Linked DNA regions of Oreochromis niloticus. The main gene of each other region encodes a partner of the protein of the gene in region 2 in a complex. Links are inferred from orthologs where the notes say so. Each region holds a gene or a part of one and is shown on either strand. Other genes may lie near its edges.

Evidence for each region.
Region 1: the proteins of ptar1 (region 2) and ykt6 are in contact, whole or in part, in a crystal structure (PDB 6J7F), measured with the Homo sapiens proteins. The link is inferred for Oreochromis niloticus from reciprocal best matches to the Homo sapiens genes PTAR1 and YKT6. Residues at the interface, in NP_001093136.1 of Homo sapiens: Glu31, Gly33, Leu34, Ile35, Pro36, Val48, Val50, Glu51, Lys53, Leu54, Gly55, Ser58, Lys135, Tyr191, His225, Ser228, Met229, His230, Val231, Ser232, Asp233, Phe298, Asp301, Leu302, Ser305, Tyr306, His309; in NP_006546.1 of Homo sapiens: Met1, Ser29, Phe30, Phe31, Asn83, Glu84, Pro86, Gln131, Asn132, Pro133, Arg134, Gln180, Phe184, Arg189, Ser193.

What each region holds. Positions count from the first base shown.
Region 1 is NC_031977.2:26,281,095-26,288,844, reverse strand, and holds the start of ykt6 (synaptobrevin homolog YKT6), read left to right. Parts: upstream 1-4,606; 5' UTR 4,607-4,701; exon of another isoform or gene 4,702-4,872; intron 4,873-5,216; 5' UTR 5,217-5,257; coding exon 5,258-5,361; intron 5,362-5,511; coding exon 5,512-5,594; intron 5,595-7,377; coding exon 7,378-7,478; intron 7,479-7,563; coding exon 7,564-7,668; intron 7,669-7,750. UniProt on the Homo sapiens protein: Vesicular soluble NSF attachment protein receptor (v-SNARE) mediating vesicle docking and fusion to a specific acceptor cellular compartment. Functions in endoplasmic reticulum to Golgi transport; as part of a SNARE complex composed of GOSR1, GOSR2 and STX5.
Region 2 is NC_031977.2:970,937-978,825, reverse strand, and holds the start of ptar1 (protein prenyltransferase alpha subunit repeat-containing protein 1), read right to left. Parts: upstream 3,185-7,889; 5' UTR 3,116-3,184; coding exon 3,030-3,115; intron 1-3,029.

The DNA.
Region 1 (7,750 bases), about 25 Mb from region 2:
TATTTTTATTTAGTCAGAAGGTTTTTTGGGGGGTTTGCTTTAAATTCAGTTTAGTTTCCAAAGTGTTTGGCTTGTTTTAGTGTTTAGTTTTTGATTTTGTTGTATTGCTATTAGATTTAAAAGCAAGATGATGCAATACAACAACGCCAGCAGCCAATCACATAGACATCTGCATTGATTTAAATGGCTCCATAAGCAGCAGTAATTGCTTTAATAGTACAGAATCTTTTGTTAATTTTTATTTCTAAGTTTAGTCTAGTTTTAATTTTACTTTTGACTGCTGTGTTTTAGTTTAGTGAGAGTTTATTATAATGACTAAGCTGATAGAAATAGTCAGATATGACATTTTGCCTTTATTTTATTTCTACAGAGGCCCTATCCTGACTCAGTGTACATTAATATTTTATTAATCGGTTATTTTAATACATAATCACAATAAAAATTATTTGTATTTAATAAACATTAGGGCTACTACATAATTATAATAATTCTGATGCTGTGATTCTGATTTTGAGCACTGAATATGTTTTAATGTTGTTCGCTTTTACTGCTGTGGTTTTCAGGCTTTCATAAAAAAGCCTGAAAACTCATAATAACATCACAATAAACGTGATCTCCAAGTAATATTATGTGATTTGTTAGGGTGAGGGACTCACTATCCATTAATGTTAAGTTTTAGGTTTGCAAGGTTATTTGTTACTTTTATATACGAAATGACTTTTAGCCTCAGTCTATTTTAGAATGCATTTTTTTAACATGACATGTCAACTAACCCTGTGGCCCGAACTTATAATTGATTTTTGTTTTAGAAGAACACCATGCAAAGCTATGGGGTTAATCAATGTTGGACCTGAAAGATACTCGTATGTTTGCGAAACTGCAAACATGCCGAAATTAGAAATAAAAAGGGATGAATGACCTCCAAATCTTAAAATAGCACGCTAGAGGCGAAGGTCTCCTCTGCTTATCAGCTCCAACAGTTTACCTGTCCAGAGGTAAGAGCTTTTTTTAGCTCTGACCTTTTTCTCCAATAGTTTGCTGGACCTGAGTTCAGGGGGGTTTTTTTTAGTAATGGCCTTGATTTTTAAAGGATCAGCACCAGTACTGTAAGATAAGTAAACTCAAAGAATGAGACTGACCTTACTTTCAAGTTTAAATAGTCATTAACTGTGCATGTTATATATATTTGTTGTTTTGGTATAACTATACAATGCTTAAAAATGAATAAAATAAAAATAATAAAATAAAATTACTACAATTTGTTTCTATCAGGTGGGATATCTGATATGTTTTTAAACTTTGGTGTCTCACACCTGACACATTTCTTGAAAATCTTTTGAAGTTCTCAGCACTGAATGTGCATGTACCAAAACAGTTCATGCATGCAGTAGTTTGCCATAGTAAACCTGCAAAATGCTGCAACTTAATTCAAGTGAAGTATTGCTGTCAAAATGATATGTTCCTTTGGCATGGGGTCAACCAGAATGGTCAAAATGTTATGATGTTTTGTCAGTGCTCGGATTTAAGTCTTGTCTTGTTACATCTTCCCTGATGCCAAATATAACCTCTAACAGACTTCTTTATCAAAGCATAACTGTTATTTTTAATTTTTTTTATTAAAGTGAATGGTCTTCTAATGCTGATTCACATTCTATGCAGTAAAGCAAAATAACATTTGCATTCATGTGCATGTAACATGAGGAAAAACATGTTTTGATGCATGCTCAATCATCCAGGTAAGGAAATCCCAGAAAGTTGATTCTGTTCATCTGGACGTAGCGTTTTCAGTGGGAGAAATGTTTCGTCACTCATCCAAGTGACTTCTTCAGTCTCAGCTGAATGCAGGTTTCCCAACTTTATAAACAGTACATTTGCATAATGACCTAAACTAGCACCACTGATAAACAATGGGCCGTGCGGTCAGTTTATAAGGTTGGGGAAAGTTGCAGTCAGATGAGTCTGAAGTAGTCAGTTGGATATGTGATCAAATGTTTCTCCCACTGAAAATGCTACATCCAGATGAACAAAACTTTGTGGGATGAGGGAAAACAAATTTATTTTACTGCAGTGGTCACACAAAACCTTAAATGTAGTTACAACAAAAGCTAAAACTGTTACATAAACATTACTATTAATACCTAAAAATCATTACTATGTTTACAGTAACAAATCTGTGCTGGAACTCACTGGATTCCAGCTGGCTTGGCCACAGATTCCCATCAACCTCTCCTTCACAAGAAGTTGCTGTACTGTAATACTTTTAACTGTGAAGAAACATTCTCTGCGCCTTCTTTCTGCTGTCTTCAAGTGTCATTCAACTGAGCCAAAGCCACTGAGGAAGCACTAATGTGTTTGTGATGTGTCTGATTTTTACTTGATTTTCACCAGCTGGGATGTGTTTAAGTGATTCTGGTAATAAAACAATACGATATTTAAAAGAAGGGGGGGGGGGGGTGATAATATTGGGTGATGAAATTGTTAGAAGCATGTTGTAACACACACGCAGTTTGTTTAGTTTGTGTCCATTTACAGGGAGAAATTGAATGTGTGCCAAGTGCTTGTCAATAGATGATTATCCAGTTAATTTAACATGTGGCCTGTTTGCACAGAAGCCTGCCTGAATGGATCTCCAGCTGTCTCTCGCAAAGTAAACTTCAGAGATTGAAGCAACTGTGTTGTTCAATTACAAGAAGAGAAACGTAAAGATCTGTAGCGTTATAGTGTATTACTACAAACTGTACGTCAAGGACAATTCGTTTAATCGTGTTCATCAAAAAATTAGTGCAAGGAAATGGAAATATTTTAGGTCCGTCCTATCACGTTTTCTGTATCCAACTGTAGCCACGATACAACAGATACTTAGAAGATACTCATGCATTTATTTACCTTTTGCCATTAATAGTCCATTTATAGTCTAAGATCATATCACTGATATCAACATCATTGAATTGTGAACTATACTGTAGCGATAACCTTCTTCTAAAAGTTGCATCTGTTCAGAAATGTATTTCATCACATTAAAATTTTGCAGATAGCAAGATTTTTTTTTTTTTTTTAAAAACTGTTTCTTTACCTTTTCCATCGTATGACAATGATGACTAAATCCGAAGTGTCCTGCCGACCATTAGTCTTGGAGGTGGAAGTTCCCTCCCTTTAGAAGTTTTGATGATTCCCAAGTTGTTGCTCTTATGGTGTTTTGCCTCGGCATAGGTGCATGAAAGGCCCAACCATTATTATGTCCCCAGCATTTGGTCTACATAATTCTCTGCAGCAGCTTGAAACCACATTTACATATCTGCAGTTTTTCTACTTTCAAAGTTGTAAACAGAAAAATAAAATCTGCAGGTGACCAAAGTATCTTAAATAGCTTTTGGAAATTTCTTCATTCTTGCAGATACTTTTGGCAGAAAGTATAAAAACTAAGAATTCCTCTTAACTCTTGGACACAGTAAACTCAAATCTTCAGTCATAAATAGCGTAAATTACATCCTAAAGAATATGTGTGGGAAAAAATGAAGGACTAATTTTCACTATCTACATATGTATCTATCTATTACACACATAAATGTTATATATTTTAAATACTCAAACATTTGTTTCTGGGCGAAAACCTATGGACGTCTTCATTCTTGTTAGCGGTTCCAGTTAATATCCACACAATGAATATGCCATCCAAGAGTCAGTTAAACAAGAACAACAAGACAATAAATTAAGCAACCAAACCTTTGTCGCATTGATAAACCCTTACATCTTTAAGTAAAATGGAGAAAAATATGAAAGCAACCTCCAGCTTGTAGGCAAACTTCTCACTGACAGTATCTCAACTCAAACAAAATTAGTTCCAGGAAAAGAAAACTCATTTCTCCCTTCAGTGCAGCTGACGATCATCAGATTCACCTAAATACTTACTGGTTTCCATGCCAATAGGATTTCAATGTGTCACCAAGGAAATGAATAACAGGCTCACATCTGACATGGAAAACACTTACCTACACGGAGTTAAATGCCCAGGAGGAAATTGCTAAATGGAGCAAGATTACCCGAGAAAACATGAATTGAGGTTGCCATAAAACAGCTGAATGTTAAAATAGTTTTTTACAGATTAAGGACATAATAATAATAATAATAATAATAACAACAACAACAACAACAACAACAACAACAACAACAACAACAACAACAACAACAATAATAATAATAATAATAATAACAACAACAACAACAACAACAACAATAACAATAATAATAATAAAGTGGAACTTTTATTGTTTGGCTTCACACAAACAAGTGGATAGCAATCAGTTCTCCCAGAATAACAAATTCAGGGTTTTCTACCATTAGTATAAAAGCACATCTATTAAATGTCAATAAATATGGTTGAAATGTTGAAACATATTATCATTTGAACCAGTTATTACAATCTCGCAATCCTGCTAATCTAAACCGATAAAAATTAATTTGCTGCATCCAACAGTGTACATAGTACCTTAGATGAAAAATAAATATGATCCGTTTAAGGCTGACTGTTATCCATCCGTGTGTCTAAGATTTCCCTCCGTGTAAATACGTTGTAAATACGTTTATATTAGGTAGATATAATATCGCTTTGAATCTGGCAAACAACCGGAACTCTTAGCCCAGCGGTGTGCGTGTTTCCAGCGGAGTGAATGTCAGATTGCACCGTTTGGGGACCGTGACGTGGTGATTGGTCACTTTAAGTTCATGTTAAAAACTGTTAAGTTAGCGCTAACTATACTGTGACTGGGTTAGTGGACGTGTTTCGTACATACCTACGAGTTTTATTTCAATACGGAATTGGACTTTTTCTGTCTGTTTTGATTGGAATCAGACGGTTTGCGATAGTTTTAGCTGGTAAGTTAGCCGAGGCCTGCCTTAGAGTAGATAGCAGCTGGAGCTAATCTGATTAAATTTTGTAATTTTCTTGACAAGTTTAAAACTTGAATCAACTTCTTTGCAGTCTTTGCTTTTCGCCATCAGTCAGCCTGTTAGTCCCATCTGTAAGGAGGGAAAATGGTTAATCTAAAATGACTATGGCTGAGAGTAAACAGTTAGCCTACAAGCTTTTATCTAGGCGGCGACTGCTTTTGCTGCGAGCTTCACGTCGTTGAAGTTTCTCTTTTTTTGTTAGCGGGGAAGCTAGTTAGCTGAGCCGGATAAAGGATAATGTTCTCATGTGATTGTTCTTATGTTATCAGACTATCAGGACTGTGTAACTGACACACGAACCGGTGGCAATATGAAGCTCTACAGTCTCAGCATCCTCTACAAAGGAGCGACCAAATCCAATCTTCTCAAAGCGGCCTACGACCTGTCCTCCTTCAGTTTCTTTCAGCGCTCCAGGTGCGTCTCACTAACGAAACGAAACAGTTTTTACTGCAGTTCCTTATTTCTTAGAGTACTGACCTGTGCCTCACACATCACGGGTAGTATTTATTTCACTATTTCTAAGTGTTTTCTACTCTACACTAAGTATTGCTTTGGTTTGTTTAGCATTCAGGAGTTCATGACCTTCACCAGTGCCTTGATTGTCGAACGAACATCTCAAGGAACCCGTGCCTCCGTCAAAGAACAAGGTAAACAGATTTAGAGTGTTTTAGGTGTGGCCCTGTGATGCAGTGATTAGTGCTGTTGCATCAGAGAAGACCCTACAGATTCAGGGTAACCTTTTGTCAAGTATCCTCTCTACAGTGGTATTGGTATAAAAGGCTGCACATTAGCCGCTTACTTGGATAACTAAAGACTATCACAGATCTCAAAGGACGAGAACAATAATAAGTTGTGATTTGTAATATCATAAAGGAATGACTTTCTGCAGTGTCCTGCGTCACAGTAGGGCAGAAGGAGATTTCTGCTGAAAAGTGATTTGATGTTTGACAGGGAAATTGTGATGGGGCTGTGACTAGGGATCGGTATCGTTTAGGTTTTATCCGATACCGGTGCCAAACCGGTACTCTTGAAACGGTGCCGGTGCTTAAACGGTGCTCGAACCGGTGCTTAAAGAACGAAGAACACACACTTTGTCCAAAAACCTCTCATGTTTAGCTGATTTTTTTTGTAAAAAGATAACAATGTTAGCCTTTTCTGCAGCTATAGGGGATTTATGGTATCACTCTTGGCTGGAAGCAGTGCTTAAACAATGGGGAAAAAAAACACCAACTTTGTCCAAAAACCTCTCATGTTTAACTGTTTCCCACTTTTTCTTTGGTCATTTTAGCCTTTTTGGCCAGGGTGAAGGGAGTATCTGCCATCAAACAAGAAGACAGCCGCATGTAACTACGACGGTGTTTACTAGTTCACCTTACATGCATTAATTTAATAACGTGGTTAGCCTACTCAACATAAATTACACACAAACAACATTAAGCTACTCACGCAGAGAAGAACGGCTGCTGTTGCCATCATCATCCGTCATCATTTCTGCTACGCTGACAGGGCTAGGGGCCAGGACTCTACTCTTCGGGTTCTTGGAGGATGTTGCTAACTCCGGGTTCGATAACAGGCACCACACCCGCAGTAGATGTGCTCGGTGTGAGGTCTTGCAGCAAGCTATCAAATACGGTGTATTTCTCGGCTTTTAAAAAAATGCTATGCGTCGCCAGGTGTTTCATCAGATTCGAGGTGTTACCTCCTTTGCACAGTATCAGCTTAAAGCACTTGTTGCAGGCTGCTGAGTTTGCATCTTTTCCTGTGAAGTACAGCCAGACTTTTGACCACTTCGCCTTGGGCATTTTTAATCTGTAGCTCTGCTCTAAAAGAACGTACATACCTGGGCCCGCCTACTATCTTTGGAAACGTAAAATGATTGGCTAGAATCCAAAGTGTATGACATCTCAGGAAAAAAAAGCACCGAAATAAAGCACCAAAATGTGCGCTGCTTTTCGGTCTGGTTACTACCGTTTATGTCAGAACTGGTGCGATACCGGTACCCATACCTAGCTGTGACATGTTCTCTGGCCTGAAAATGGACATTTTAAGTCCAGTTTTAAACAGTTGGAGATAATAAAAGTAAAATTTAAGCTGTCTCAAAACAATGACGCTAAACATTTCCTTGTTTCTGGAGTACACAGACTGCTTTTCCCCTCTTCAGTTTCATGCAGGCTGAATCATCATATCATGTGACATGAACTTTAACAAATGTCATTACGGAGTTATGCTTCATAATGAGTGTGTGATGTTTGTTTGTTTTTGTTTTGGGAGTCGTATGGAGAACATTTTGCTAAGTTGTATTTTAATAAGGCTTTTTATTCTTTGGCCCTTCTTCAATGCACCAGTAGACACAGTAGTTTTCCTGTACAATAAGATCGGGTGAACATTGTTCTGATAACAACACACCTTGCTCCTTTTTTTTTCTTTCAGAGTACCTGTGCCATGTGTATGTGAGAAATGACAATTTGGGTGCTGTAGTCATCGCAGATACTGAATATCCACAGAGAGTCTGTTTCACATTGCTTGACAAGGTGGTTTATATATTTAAAAAAAAAAATACATATACATATTATGAGACTTGTTGTTGATTTCAATAGTGACATTGCTTTTTTTTAGGTATTAGAGGAGTTCTCTAGGCAAGTGGACAGTATAGACTGGCCCTCTGGTAATCCTGACACCATTAACTACAAAGCCCTTGACATTCACCTCTCTAAATACCAGGTCAGTTTGTTTTACATTTCTCAGAATTTATGTTAACGAAAGACCTGATATTCTATGACTGCAACTAAACTGTTTGTGTGAT
Region 2 (7,889 bases):
GTCTTGGTGGACAGAATTTCTAGGCGTATCCAAGTGGTGGAAGGCTTTCACTTGGGTTGTCTCAGGATCTCATCTCTGCTTTTTGCAGATGGGGTGGTTCTGTTGGCTTCATCGGGTAGTGGCTTCCAGTTCACACTGGAATGGTTCGCAGCAGAGTGTGAAGCTGCAGGAATGAGAATCAGCACCTCCAATCAGAGGCCAGGGTCCTCAGCCAGAAAGGGGTGGAGTGCCCACTCCAGGTCAGGGACGAGTTCTTGCCCGAAGTGGAGGAGTTTAAGTATCTCTGGGTTTTGTTCACGAGTGACGGGAGAAGGGAGCGGGAGATCGACAGACGGATTGGTGCTGGTGCTGCAGTGATGCGGACGCTGCACCGGTCTGTTGTGGTGAAGAGAGAGCTGAGTGTAAAAGAGAAGCTCCCAATTTACCGGTCGATCTACGTCCCTACCCTCACCTATGGACACGAGCTGTGGGTAGTGACCGAAAGAACGAGATCGCGGATACAAGCGGCAGAAATGAGCTTCCTCCGAAGGGTGGCTGGCCTCTCCCTTAGAGATAGGATGAGAAGTGTGGACATCCAGGAGGGGCTCAGAGTAGAGCCGCTGCTCCTTCACATCGAAAGGAGCCAGTTCAGGTGGTTCGGGTACCTGACAAGGATGCCTCCTGGGGGATGTGTTCTGGGCATGTCCCCCCGGGAGGAGACCCCGGGGCAGACCCAGGACATGCTGGAGAGATTATATCTCTTGGCTGGCCTGAGAACTCCTTGGTGTTCGCCTGAACAAGCTGGAGGAGGTGGCTGGGGAGAGGGAGGTCTGGGCTTCTGTGCTTAGGCTGGTGCGACCGCGACCGCCCCGGATAAAGCGCAAGAAGATGGATGGATGGACAAAACAAAAAAAGACCTTTTCAGAGAATTTTAATTTATAGAGCTGAACAGGTTCTCTGTAGTACTCTCAGAAAGTCTCTGAAAATGTCACAAAACTGTATAAACCCGTAAAAAGAGAAAATCCTAGTAATACCTTAGTAGATCAAGGTCTTGGGACCTGTTTAAAGTTTGAATTCCATCTCTAGGTCAAACTATGCTGAACTAGTTAAGCTTCAAAATACTGGAGGTGTGAAAAGCATGTGAAGAAGATATTCTCCATTCATTTGGATGGAAAATATATATAAGTACAAAAGTAAAAACAGTAATGTCTTGATGCATACGCAATCATCTAGGTACATAAATCTCCAAAAGTTGTTCATCTGGACGTAACGTTTTCAGTGGGAGGTCAGTTCCTTAATCTTAATTATGCAAATTCTTATGACCATTGATCATCAACCACTGATCAATGTCCATGAGTACCATTCACAGAGAGTTGGGGAATGGCTGCAATCACAGCAGCCATCTACTTTATCAAAGTAGATGTCTTTCTGAAAGTGCTGTAACTAAGTTTAAGAATATAATCCACCCACTGTTATCATCTTCAATGCCCTGTACCAACATAGAGCAGAGCAGCTATCTGAACGCTACTCCAACAGAGGTCGATTATCTGGTTAATAATTTTACCTCCTCACTACGTACGACTCTGGATACTGTAGCTCCTGTGAAAACTAAGGCCTCAAATCAGAAGTACCTGACTCCGTGGTATAATTCTCAAACACGTAGCTTAAAGCAGATGACTCGTAAGCTGGAGAGGAAATGGCGTGTCACAAATTTAGAGGATCATCATTTAGCCTGGAGAAATAGTTTGCTACTTTATAAGAAAGCCCTCCGCAAAGCCAGAACATCTTACTATTCGTCACTGATTGAAGAAAATAAGAACAACCCCAGGTTTCTCTTCAGCACTGTAGCCAGGCTGACAAACAGTCAGAGCTCTGTTGAGCCAACAATCCCTTTAACGCTAACCAGTAATGACTATTTAAATATGTTTTCTCTAATGGGCAAAAAGTCCTTCTCCCATCCCAACCATTCGCGGCAGATGGCCCCGCCCCTCCCTGAGCCTGGTTCTGTCAGAGGTTTCTTCCTGTTAAAAGGAAGTTTTTACATTTTTATTTTGAATGAATTACAAATAAAAGCTAAGAAAACACGTGTTACTGCTGTCATCCATTCTGACACTAACACCCAGAAAACTTAAAAGTGAACCAAACACATCCAAACTGAGGGGATTCTTTTTCCAAAGGCTAGCAAAAAACCCAAAGCAGCTGAAAATCTGTGGTTATCACACTAAACTAGAAGCTACAACGATTCATCGAGTAAATTTTAAAAATCCTTGTCTCAAATTCTGTACTTTGATATCTTATTTAAGCCACATGTCTGCAGCGCTCTGTTGTCGAGCATTTTACACACATTTTCCCAGCATCTCAAAAAGCGACACTTGTTCCTGTAGTCACCATTAAAACCTTTACTGGGAAAAAGTCCTTTTAAAACATAGCAAATTCTAAACCAGTGAGTAGCTTTGAAAGCCCTATTTTTTTCCTGTTTGGAATATTGATTAGTGCTCATTAATACGACAAAAGTATCAGATTACTCGATTAATCGATAGAATAATCAGAATATTTGATTGCCAAAATAACTGATAGCTGCAGCCTTAAAATTCTTAACATACTATCACACATGATTGACCTAACATCACGTGCTTCTCATGGCATGCAAATATTCGGTACCACCATATACACAAATGTTAAGCATCCCAGTTCATTCACCGGCGAAATAAATAATAACACCATTAATGAAACAACATGATCGGAATGTCGCATTTTCAAAGCTGCATAGCTCAGCTCGGTAAAGTCGTGAAATATCCCGCTGCAGCAATGTTTTAAGTTATTTAATTGTAAGTAAACAGTAATCCCCACGACATCATGTCTCACAACTGAACAGAACAAACAAAACTAAGTGTCTAAAATGTAAACTTCATCTAGACAGTTCCGATTCCAGGTAAGAGTCCACGCCCATAATTTAAACCCTGAATCAGCCGTGGCCTAGCCCTGGATCCGCTGGGTGTGAAACAGGCCTCCGGGCCCAGCGCTGTTTGTTCGCAGCCGACTGTACTCACATGCTGGGGTTCTTCTTGAATGCATTCGCGATGTCTTTGACAACTCTCTGGACCAAGACGTCTACCTCCTCCTCCGACTCCGCCATTTTTAGAGCACCGTCTTCTTCTGCTTCTTCTTCTTCTTCCTCGTTGTTTTTATTGGCGGTTAGCAAACAACGAATTGGTGCATTACCGCCACCAACTGGTGTGGAGTGTTGACCGTCATTTATATTATAGTTCAGATCAGTCGCTGATTCCAAACCTGTTCTCCTATTAACTCTTGTGCCCCTCCGATCATTTCAACATGATTTTTTATTTTACATTAATGCTGTAATTCATGTTCTGTTGTGATCATTATTAGTACACCATGATGAGATGTGTGCATTAAAATCGCCACATCACAATATATTTCCATTCAAATAGAAATGAAGTTCATTGGTTCAGATGAAAGCCTTTTGCATGGGTTGATGCTGTCCTTTCTATTCCAAACTTGGACTAATCTATAATCTATATTCTGTTACACATCCTCCTCCCTGAACCTCGCCTCTGTCTCTGCATACCCTGCTATATCCTCTGATTACAGAAAGTTGGTTTGAGCCAAGTTTCCTTAATACAGATCATTTCTGGTTTCATGAATCCTTTAAATTCTTGTCCATTTGCTATTAAACGTCGAGCTTTCTTATTATCCTCCCTCCTGATGTCCCTGGATCCCTCCAGTCCTTTGTTAATATGTTCTGAAATGCTTTTACACCAAAGATCTTCTCTGCTCCTTTGATTATCATTTTGATTTGATCTGTTTTGTATTTTAATCAAGCTGCACAGTCAGTGACAACTAACAACAACATCTTGTCAACTGTAACTGTAGATTCTGTTTTCCCACTCTGTCCACAGGGTGAGGTTGAATTTGGTTGAACAGTCTTCTCTCTCCATCTAGACTGCCCTTGCACTCTCCTCACAGCCTCAGCAGAATGAGGAGGCCATTCCAGTCCAGTCACAAACCAGTTTATGCCAAACTGCTGCTCCCAGAGCACCGACTCCTTTTTCTTAGTCATTTTTATTGGCGGCTCGTAAATATCAAAAAAGGTGCATTACTGCCACCCACTGGTATGACTATTGAATAAACTCTCGTTCACAAAGACAAACAAATAAACAAAAAACAAAACAAATAAATAAAACTACAGATTCTACTCAAAACATTTATCTGTCTTTCTAAAAAACAAATATGTAAATATGGCCTGATAGTTTTATTTCTTGTGTTCTTTTAAAATAAATATGACCCAGTTTCACTTTCACATTATTAAGGTTTTTATCAGCTGTCTCATGTTTGTGACAGTGCAGTAAAGTACATTGTTCTATGGTGTCGTCTTCTACAGCACAGTCACATTTCCCCGTACGTGTTTCCTTCTATTTGAAACAGCTGTGATATTATCGTCTCCTCTTTCGGTTCCTTCCTGCACCTTTTCTTTAGATTTTGTAAGTCTTTTTCTTTCTTCTCCCACTGCTTTTGGCACCTTTCCTTCATCTTCTACCTTTTTTAAGTCAATTCAATTTTGTTGTTATAGCGCCAACAACAGTTGTCTCAAGGTGTCGTAAGGTGATGACTCTACAATAGCACCCTTACTACACCTTTAATCTCTGTCCAACTGAAAATCATTTTTGTGGCTTCATCTGTGAGCTTCTCTTCTGTTTAATTTCCTTTTACTGCATAATGTGATGTTATTAAACTGCAGGCCCTGTTATCCTGTCTCTGTCTGGCCTGCTGAATGAATACTGACAGGCTGTTTTTATTGCTGAATACACAGTAAAGCATTTGAAAGTACTGATCATAGAAAAATGATCTGTTTATTCTTTAAGCTGATCTTAGTTCATACTTTTAACTGTTGTAATTTATTCTGATCTTTAATCATCAGAAACATGATGCATCTATGAAGCTACTGTGAGTAAAGGTCTGCCCAGTCCTTTATAGAGCATGGTTAGGTTTACTGTGTCATCAGGACCTGCTCTTAAATAAAACACAGGAGTGTTCACTGCAGGCTGCAGTGGTTGTGATGGGGAGCTGAAGTCCATTTTAAAGGAGTGAGAGAATCACTGCTTTGATCAGTGTAACTATTTTTAATGACTGTTGTTGCAAATGATCCACATTTATGTGTTCACCTGTCTGTACTGAATATGATTATGTGATTGATTATGTTGTGATGATTTTAATCTCAGTGAGGATTTTACCTGGATAAAGGACAATGGCAGGCAAAAACAAATGCTTCACATCGTTGGTTAACCCTGCCACCCATGCTTAGAGTAAGTGGGAAAAGAGAAACAATGATAAGATAAGAAGTGCTACGTGAGCTGTGAAGTTCTTATTTTATAAATACAGAAAAGGTTTACAGTAGACAGGGACAGTCCAGCATACTGTGGGTTTTATTACACTGGCTGACAGAATTAACATGCTGACTTGTAGAGTTGTAACAGACCATTCTTAATGTTGTATGTGATTTTAAAAAGTGTTATTAGAGTTTTGTTTCAGGTCTCCCATTAAACACTACAACACTACTTTGTCCCAGCTGCTGAATGGATTGTGTGTAATGAACTTCAGACTTTCACAGACTTGGATCCAATAGTAGAAACAATGAGCTTTGCCAATTATGTTAACAATAAAGGACTAACTAGGAGAGAGAGAGGTTTCATTTTGAATTTGTTAAAATAAAGTAGGTACTATATTTCCTTTATTGTGTTTATGCTCGTTGTCTCTCATTTTCAGAATTACCATGGGCTAAAAATGGTTTAAGGAAACTCAACTTTGTTACACACACTGCTGTCCATGCATTACCCTGCAGAGTTTTATGTGATAATTAAAATGTTCTGATCAGTCAGAGTGGACACTAAACTGTATTTAATTTGCAAGCTTGCTAATAGAAATGAGGGTCATGAGTCCCACCTCCTGGGTGCCAACATTAACGGTCTCCTCATATATGTTCACCCTGGACACTGTGAAGACTCCATTTCCTCCACAATTAAGTTCATTTGTAAAAATTACACAACTACAACTACACAACTCATTCAGATAAGAATAATGATTTTTCTTTTCATGAAACCCCCCCAAAATCTAGTGTAATAGGCCCATGGTCATTAGTAGACCTGTAATAGAATAAAAAACGGAAGTCACATGTTTCTATTGGTGAAACACGAGCACTCGCTTTGCAAGGCTGAAATAAACCCGACATATTACAGAGGATGTGCAGCATTATGCTGGAGGTGGGATTGAAGATCTCTCAGACCACCACAGACCAGAGCTGTGACAGCTGCTGGGTACACCACATCTGTTCATCATTCCCGCCCCACCACCTGATCCACCTCACCACTAGGTGGTGATGTGGTGACAGCTTATCTCATTTCTTTGCCCAAGTGCCCAACACCTACGGCTTCAGGTCTAACAGTATCACAACAGCAGCCTTTAAATTAAAATAACTATATAACAGTCTTCTGTAGTATTCCCTTTACATTTGTGCTTTTGCATTATTGGTTGGTTACTCCCTCTGATCTCTGTCAAGTTCATAAGTGTTTCACACATTAAACATTATTTTGCCATTTGCCTCAGTGTATCACCACACTGGACTTTGAATCAAACAAACAACATCTGACTAAAAACTTTAGACTATCAGCTTTAATTCAAGGAGTTAACAAAACTATTACATTAACTGTTGAGAAACATTTTCTGAAAGTGTAACTTGAAAACAGGGTTTGTAAAGGAGTGCTTCTTGGATTCTTGCTCGTCAGAGGTGCTCTTTGGATAAACTTGTTTAAAAAAGACGCGTTTCAGCCCACTGGCTGTGTTACATGTGTGTAACTATTTAATGTTAAAGGTTTAGTTTGAATATTTAGAAGTCATGTTCTGTGAACAAATACACGCACAAGCCACATTTGACTGGTCTTCAGCTACCAGTGACACTGTTCTGTAGTTCTGCCTGGTTACTGGTTTAGGGTTGGATGCAGCACAGTCTGCACTGAATAATGTGACTTGGAAGGTCAGGATGCTTCTTGAAATGCATGTGTGGATGTGTTGAATGTTCAGGATATTACAGATATGTTGTAAATGTTGTTCATTTTTATGGAGTCAAAACAGGATTTGTGCCAAACTGCAAGACCACACAATGTTATGTTTCACTATTTTGTAAAATAAATACATTTTTTCTGAACATATATATCTATATCTATATATATATTTTTTTTTTAAAAACCACCCAGCACTCCCCTGCGGGCGGTTTATCCTTCAAGCTTGGGTCTACCAGAGGCCTGGGAGCTTGAGGGTCCTGCGCAGTATCTTAGCTGTTCCCAGGACTGCGCTCTTCTGGACAGAGATCTCCGATGTTGTTCCCGGGATCTGCTGGAGCCACTCGCCTAGCTTGGGAGTCACCGCACCTAGTGCTCCGATTACCACGGGGACCACCGTTACCTTCACCCTCCACATCCTCTCGAGCTCTTCTCTGAGCCCTTGGTATTTCTCCAGCTTCTCATGTTCCTTCTTCCTGATGTTGCTGTCATTCGGAACCGCTACATCGATCACTACGGCTGTCTTCTTCTGTTTGTCTACCACCACTATGTCCGGTTGGTTAGCCACCACCATTTTGTCCGTCTGTATCTGGAAGTCCCACAGGATCTTAGCTCGGTCATTCTTTCACAAATATCCGTCTGTTATTTGAAAGATTGAACTGTTAAATTCAAATGTAATGCTATGGAAAAATATATAAAATGATTCTCATAAACTTTTTTTTACATCAAATAATTATTATTATTAGTGCTATTTAGGGCGATCGTGGCTCAAGAGTTGGGAGTTCGCCTTGTAATCGGAAGGTTGCTGGTTCGAGCCCCGGCTTGCACAGTCTCGGT